2 linked regions of the Callithrix jacchus genome follow. The protein of the gene in region 2 binds, or shares a complex with, the protein of the main gene of each other region. Links are inferred from orthologs where the notes say so. Each region holds a gene or a part of one and is shown on either strand. Other genes may lie near its edges.

What was found. Proteins that work in one complex are often made in the same cells at the same time.
Region 1: the proteins of KCNMA1 (region 2) and LRRC26 are in contact, whole or in part, in a cryo-EM structure (PDB 7YNZ), measured with the Homo sapiens proteins. The link is inferred for Callithrix jacchus from reciprocal best matches to the Homo sapiens genes KCNMA1 and LRRC26. Residues at the interface, in NP_001154824.1 of Homo sapiens: Pro78, Cys79, Asp80, Ser81, Arg82, Gln84, Trp88, Ala92, Ser93, Val96, Thr97, Glu155, Trp158, Met159, Ser161, Val162, Trp165, Cys206, Leu226, Leu227, Phe229, Gly230, Leu231, Phe233, Ile234, Asp251, Phe252, Pro256, Phe259, Val260; in NP_001013675.1 of Homo sapiens: Gly204, Cys205, Gly206, Cys207, Ala208, Arg236, Leu237, Ala249, Phe250, His252, Cys253, Ala254, Gln255, Leu257, Arg260, Asp261, Leu262, Val264, Val265, Tyr266, Leu268, Gly269, Pro270, Ser272, Phe273, Ser276, Leu277, Cys280, Leu281, Leu283.

The regions. Positions count from the first base shown.
Region 1 is NC_133502.1:185,580,278-185,583,442, forward strand, and holds LRRC26 (leucine-rich repeat-containing protein 26), read right to left. Parts: upstream 1,779-3,165; 5' UTR 1,712-1,778; coding exon 1,018-1,711; intron 933-1,017; coding exon 601-932; 3' UTR 505-600; downstream 1-504. Other genes in the region: TMEM210 (transmembrane protein 210), read right to left, coding at 2,700-2,889. UniProt on the Homo sapiens protein: Auxiliary protein of the large-conductance, voltage and calcium-activated potassium channel (BK alpha). Required for the conversion of BK alpha channels from a high-voltage to a low-voltage activated channel type in non-excitable cells.
Region 2 is NC_133513.1:53,241,655-53,245,166, reverse strand, and holds part of KCNMA1 (calcium-activated potassium channel subunit alpha-1), read right to left. Parts: intron 2,340-3,512; coding exon 2,147-2,339; intron 1-2,146. UniProt on the Homo sapiens protein: Potassium channel activated by both membrane depolarization or increase in cytosolic Ca(2+) that mediates export of K(+). It is also activated by the concentration of cytosolic Mg(2+).

The DNA of each region.
Region 1 (3,165 bases), on a different chromosome or scaffold from region 2:
CTCCTCTGCAGCCTGAGCTCCACCCTCCCCTCTTTTTGCTGCACCGCCCACCCACGCCCCGTCTGCCCCTTGACCCTCCACGCCGGGGCTGGCCCTGCCCTCCCCCCACGGCCGTCCCTGACTTCCCGGCCGTCAGCGCCTCCCAGAGACGCTCGGGTTCCCGCTGCCTCAGACCGCCTCCTCCTCCTCCTCCTCCTCCTCTGGACTCGAGAGGGCCGACCCCCTCGTCTCCTCGTCCGGCCTGCGGCCCAGAACGGGCTTCCCCGGACGCTGGTTCGGGACTGTCTTCCACCCTGCCCTGCACCTCGGGCACAGGAGAGCGCCACCCGCCCGCCCCCGCCCTCGCTCCGGGTGCGTGCCCGGCCCACCACCTTGTACAGGACCAGCGCTCCCAGGGCCCGAGCGCGTGCCTTCCCCGTGTGGCCCATGCGCGGCGCGCTCTGCCCCTCCTCCCCCCACTTCCCGGTGTGTGCAGTGGTGATGCCTAAAGGAATGTCACGCAGGTTTCGGTCTGTGTCGCTTGTTGACGCCGACAGAGAGTAAAGGGAGGGCAAAGGCGTTGGGGAAGAAGCTTCCAGAATCCCAGGCGGCCGCGGCTGCTCAGGCTTGGGCGGCTGCCGCGGGGATCCCCGGGCCCGCGGGCGAGACCGAGCAGTGGGGGTCGGGATCGGAGTCCGGGTCCCGCGGTCTCCTTGGCCGGCGGAGGGCGGCGGTGCGGCGGCGGCGGCGCGCGCTGCAGGCGGTGAGCACGGATCCCAGCGCCAGGCAGGCGGCCACGCTGACGAGGAAGGAGGCCGGCCCGAGCGCGTAGACCACGGCCAGGTCCCGCAGGGCTAGCGGCTGCGCGCAGTGGCGGAAGGCGGCGTCGGGGAAGGCAGTCAGCGGGCTGAGTGTCAGGCGTCCCGGCCACACGCAGAGCGCCGCCTCGGCCTCTGCGGGACACGGACACAGACGCGGCGTCAGGCGGCGGCGGCCGCCCCGCCCCGCAGACCCCGCCCCGCGTCCGGGACAGCTCACCTGACGTGGACAGCGGGTGCCGGCGCAGCCAGGCGCACAGTGGGCGCAGCGCGCAGCTGCAGGCCCAGGGGTTGCCGTGCAGGTGCAGCGCGTCCAGGGCGGGCAGGCGGGCCAGCAGCCCCGGCGCGAGTGCCGCCAGCGCGTTGTCCTGCAGGCTGAGTGAGCGCAGCAGCGGGAGCGCGCCCAGCGCCGCGGGCTCCAGGCGAGCCAGCCGGTTGCCAGCCAGAGAGAGGGTGCGCAGCGCGCGCAGCGGCGCGAAGGTCCCGGGTGCCAGCGCTTCCAGCTGGTTGGCGCTCAGGTCCAGCAGCTGTAGCGCGCCCAGGCCCCAGAAGGCTCGCACGTGCACTGAGTGGAGCCCGTTCTCGCTCAGGTCCAGAAGCTGCAGTGCGCCCGCTCCCGCGAAGGCACCGGGCGGCAGCGCGCGGAGGTGGTTGTGGTCCAGCAGCAGCTCGCGGAGGCGCAGGCTCAGGCCCGCGGGCACGGCCGGAAGCGCGAGTGCAGAGCAGGTGGCCAGGCCGCCGGGCTCGCACGTGCACTCCTCGGGGCAGTCCCGGGCGCCTGGGGACCCCGAGGGCGAGGCCGTGGCCGACACCTGTGCCCAGACAGGCCAAGGCGACAGCGGCGGCAGCAGCAGCAGCAGCGGCAGCAGCGTTGGCGTCTGCGGCCAAGGCCGCGACCAGGAGGAACTCCGCATAGGGGCAGCCCCCAGTACCTGTGTGGGCGGCCCGCTGCCTGTGCGTCCCCGGAGCCTATAGTCCACTAAGCGCGTTCCTGCGGCGCCTGCACAAATGTTCTCTGGCGCGAGTGCAGGCAGTTCCTGTCCCACAGCTGGATCCACGCTTGGGGCGGGGCAAACGGCCAACGCCCGGCACCGCCGGCCACCTGTCCCGGAGCTCCAGACTGCTCTGGGCACAGCGCCGGCCACAGCACTATCGGGACCACCTCACCCCGACTGGTTCACCACCAGGCGCCCGCCGAGCCCTGAGCAGTAGGACGCCGCCCACCTGCCCCCGCCGACCTCACGGCTGCGACCGGCGCCCATACGCAACGCAGCCCAGAGGTCCTGCTCCTCACTGGCCTTGGCCCCCCTCAGGATCAGCAAAGTGAGCCCAGTGTGCACGTGCTGAGTGGCTTCACGCAGGGACGGTCCGTTCCCGTGGTGGATGAGGCCTGAACTGAACATGGGCCTTGTGGTGTAGGGAGACAGCACACCCAGGCAGGAGAGGATGCCAGCTCCACCCTTCCCCCTCAGGACTTTTCTGGACCGTCTGGGGTGCTGCCAGTGGAGTGGGGGAGGGGCATCAGCCCAAGTCCTGTTAAACCCAGCTGCCTCCGGAGCTGCCAGTTGCAGCCTGGGTCTCACATGCTTTTCCCTTCTGCTCATCCCTGCTGCAGGTACCACCTGCAGGTCCTGTTCTAGGAGCTTTCAAAAGCACGAGGTTCAGGGAGGAGCTGGGCTGACCAGCTGTGGCAGAGAAGGTAGAAACACATTAGGGGTGTGGTTTACTGCCCTGGGGCAGAGAACGCGGAACCCGGTGTGGGCCTGGGTGCCCGCTTTGATGAGACCCATAGGCGAGTGCACGCCCAACAATGCAGCCTTGAGGGGTGTGAGAGTCTGCAGGGAGGACAGTGCACAACCTCTAAATACGGTTTATTTCCTCTCCCCACCGGCTTCCTCAGCCCTACTCAGGTGGTAGGGGTGGGGGTGGGGGTGGCTCCTCTGGGGTAGCCTCCATGGGGATGGCCACGAAACTCTCATCCTCCAGTGGGGGCATCACGGAGACCTCCAGGTCAGCGTCCAAGAGCTGGGACTCCACATATACTGGATGCAGGTCCATGCGGTCTTCCTGGACTCCAAAATTCTCCACCAACCTGCATGACAGGGCCCGGGTCAGCACAGGCTGGTGGGGCTCTAACCACCCCCCGGAGCAGGCCAGCATGTGGAACTGTGCTCCCCCAAGGCCTCTCCTGGGACAGCACCACCCCCACCCACAGGGCCTCCCCTACAGCGCCCCCCTCGAGGGCCTCCCCTGGAACAGTGACCCCCCTGTCGCTGGGACAGCGCGGCCCCTCAAGGACCTCCCCTGGGACAGCCCCCCCCCACGGGGCCTCCCTGGAACAGCACCCCCCCTTGAAGGCCTCCGCTAA
Region 2 (3,512 bases):
AGGATCTAAGAGGCTGGGATAAAGTTTAAGAGAGCTGGAAGGAACACCTACATCAGATGCATGTGTAACTAAATTATACACTGAGATTCTAATCTATGGCCCTGGAAAATCGTGATGATTGAGTTAGGAGGAAACAGGCATGTTGGGGAAAAGGAGTGTTTTCCTGCCTCCTCCTGCTGGCTTCTGTCTCTACTTAAAGGGAGAATCACTGCTTCTACTTTTTTACATTCCCCTTGATGGTTCACTGCTCCCCAAGAAAGAAGCATCTAACAAGGGTTAGTCATGTCCTGTTCATGTGAAGGTTTACTGTGCTTTAAAGGGGTGCATTTGAGTTGCCTGGGGATCTTGTTAGAATGCAGATTCTGACCCAGCAGATCTGGGGTGAGCCATGAGATTCTACAGTTTTAACAGGCTTCCCCAATAGATACCTGTACTGGCGCTGGGCAGAGAGGACACATATTGAAGGTCAAGGGCTTAAAGGCAGGAACCAAATGGCAGCTTGCCTCTTTTACTCCCTAGAAGGTCAGCCTGCTGTCTTCTCACTTCCTTTCTCACCTGGGCTGTCTGGGCAGGAGGGGGTCTCTGCCTCTGCAGGATGCACCTGGGAGTAAGAGCGCAGGGCCTCTCTTAGGCCTTGACATGTCGTTCTGTCCTGCGGGCACAGCTGAGCAGGTGGATACCAAGATTGAGATTTGGGTGTGGTAGGGAGGATGGTGGCATGGAGAGGTCAAAATTAGGCTGCAGGCTGTATTGGGGTGATGTCAGAAGAACAGAAGCTACTTCATATCCAATACAAAAGCAGAAGGTCCCTTAAGCTTGACCAGAAAGTGCTGTGAACTTCAAGACTCTCAGAGAAGCCACAACCCCTCTCTCAGTTACCAGCAGTGAAGATACTTGCTCCCAGAAAGCTCCTCTGAGAGATGATTTGAACCTGGGTCTGCTAAGGTCTGGCTCCAACTGTCTCCAAAGAATCAAAGCCTCCCTTTCTCCTCCACTTTTCAAATCTCATCCCAATGCCCCTCTTCCACCAGCTGACTCTGCCCAGAGCCATGCAGGAAAGAGGATTCTAGGAATGATTGTTCCTGGATTTTCTGCAATGCTAAGCAAATGTTAGAAGGTGGTGGTGGTGATGTCAAGTTGACAAAAGATAATATAGCTCACAGATCTAGGATGCATGATCCAGCTGAGCTTCTAGAAAGCCTGGCATGACGTGGAGGAGGTCAGACACTTGCCCAGCTATCAATAAGGTGGTGCTTCATATGCCAGTAGCCATAGTGCTCAAGGACTGTGCTCCTACAGCCTTTCGTCCTGGACTGATGGGATTCAGGTCCTCATCAGGCAGCCCATGCCACCCGCTTGTAGCCCTTATGTAACAATGATCCTCCAGTTCATGGCAAGACTACACGGAGGTGTCACTCAAAGGAAAATGCTCTGCATCCTATCCTGCCAGATGCTGATTACGGAGGTCGTCTGTTATGAAGGTTTTGCTGCATTTCCTTTCTAAGACTCCTAGACATCTTTACTTGTAACCCCCTGTCCAGGATCCCAAAACAAATGACAGGAAAGACTGGGGCCAGAGTAGGAAGGCACACATGTGTCACTTAAGGTTGCTTTGCCTCCTATAGGAAAATGTGTGGTCTGACAAGTGTCACCTCTTGCTAAATGACTTTTAGTGTCCATAGAGTTGCCACTCTCTGGAGAGCACCATCCTTTGGTCAGCAGAGTCCTAGAGGCAGTTCTAACAATAGCAAAGCTTAACACTTCCATCTCAGCTCAATGGCAAAAATATATTCTGGAAGGAAATGGTCGGAATTGTGCAGCCAGCATCTTTTCAGTGCTCTGACATTTAGCTGACACTGCCCATGAAGACACTCTTTGGGAAAGCTGAGGGGGTGGCCATTTAAAGCGTTGTTTATCCTCTGGAAAGGCAACTTAGTCAGTGTGTGGGTGACCAGGTCTCAAGCCTGGACCCCAGAATGGAAAGAAGGGGCAGCAGATGCCCCTTTGAAAGCCATCCCGGCGACCGCAGGTTTCACTGCCAGGCAGGCTGATGTGAGCCTCTTTGAATTACTGAGTGAAGGATATCCCTCTTGCCAGCCGCTGTCCCCCGTAGGCACAGCAAAGAAGTATTACAGGCTGTCCTTACCTTGGGAATTAGCCTGCAAGACCCCGATGCTGTCATCAAACTGCATAGATTTGATGTTGAGCGACGCCAAGATGCATTCCTTGTCCTGCAGCGAAGTATCATCAATATTATTCTGATTGGCTGACAGGATAACGCACATGTCACAGAGGTTGATGTTGACAGCCCTTAAATCAGCCCGACTTAATGGCGTACCCTTTGGCATAGAGGAAAGAAAAAAAAAAAAACAGAGAGAGAGAAAGGAACAAAAGTGAGAGGAGAGGGAAAGAGGAAAAAAATAAAAACAAATTAAAGATTGAGTCAGAGCTTTGGGAAATTATTTAACAAGTATCTTTTTTATGCCTTGACATTAAGCTGGCCTAACTACATTCAAGGGAATAGGAGCTGTGTGCTAATCTAAAGGGTAGTTGGTGCTGATGGCAGCATTTTAAGCTTGCTCTCAATACTCAATCAAGCTATTACTAACAAACGCGGGAGAGGAATAATGTCAGGGTTCTACATCTTCTTCCTGCCTGGAAATTGTCTTGATTTAAGTAACTGTCCTGTGGCAACCTCTGGCTTTCAAAATGTAACAAGGGAGTGGGTTTCAAGTGCCTGTTTATTTGATAGCAGGTCACTTCTGTCTCAGGCAAAAGACAGCAGTTCCAATGCAGCCAAGAGGAAATGGCCAGTGAGCATGGAGTGATGAGGTGGGCCTGGACATGCAGCTCAATTTGGAGGCTATGGATGGAGTGGAATTAATGCGGGCAATGCAAAAGGGACATGGAAAGGAGTTAAGCTCCAGGTCATATAATTGTATTGAATATTTCTACAAGAAAAAAGTACACAAGGTAGTGGCCTGATTGTCCAACAACATAGGAATGGTGAAATATACTTTTGGACATTCACACAGTGAAAATGTATGCAGGAGGTAAAGAAGCAGAGCTAGCTCTCCATGCAGGCATCAGCTTAGAAGGCTCTCTAAAATAGAGGGGAAGTGAAAAAAAAGTTCTAGGGCAATTAAAAATGTATAGTTTCATTTATGTTAAAAAAAAACTGACAAAATAAAACTACATACATATAAATGTATGTAAGGTTGGAAAGAAAGCCCAGGAAAAATATCCATTACACTAATAACGGTAATTCCCTCTGGGAAGGGAAATAGGATTGGTGGGGGTGAGGGCAAAGTTTGCTTTTGACTTTATATACTTCTATATTGTTTGAACATTTTATAACAAGAACATATTTGTATATTATAGGTTCATTTAAAAATAAATAAGCCCGTAAACAGATTTTTAACATAAAAAAATAACAAAAGACGGTGGAAAAATCCCAGATCCAGGAGGTAACAACAGAGTCCAGGAATGCAAGCACAGGTAAAATGGAAGGG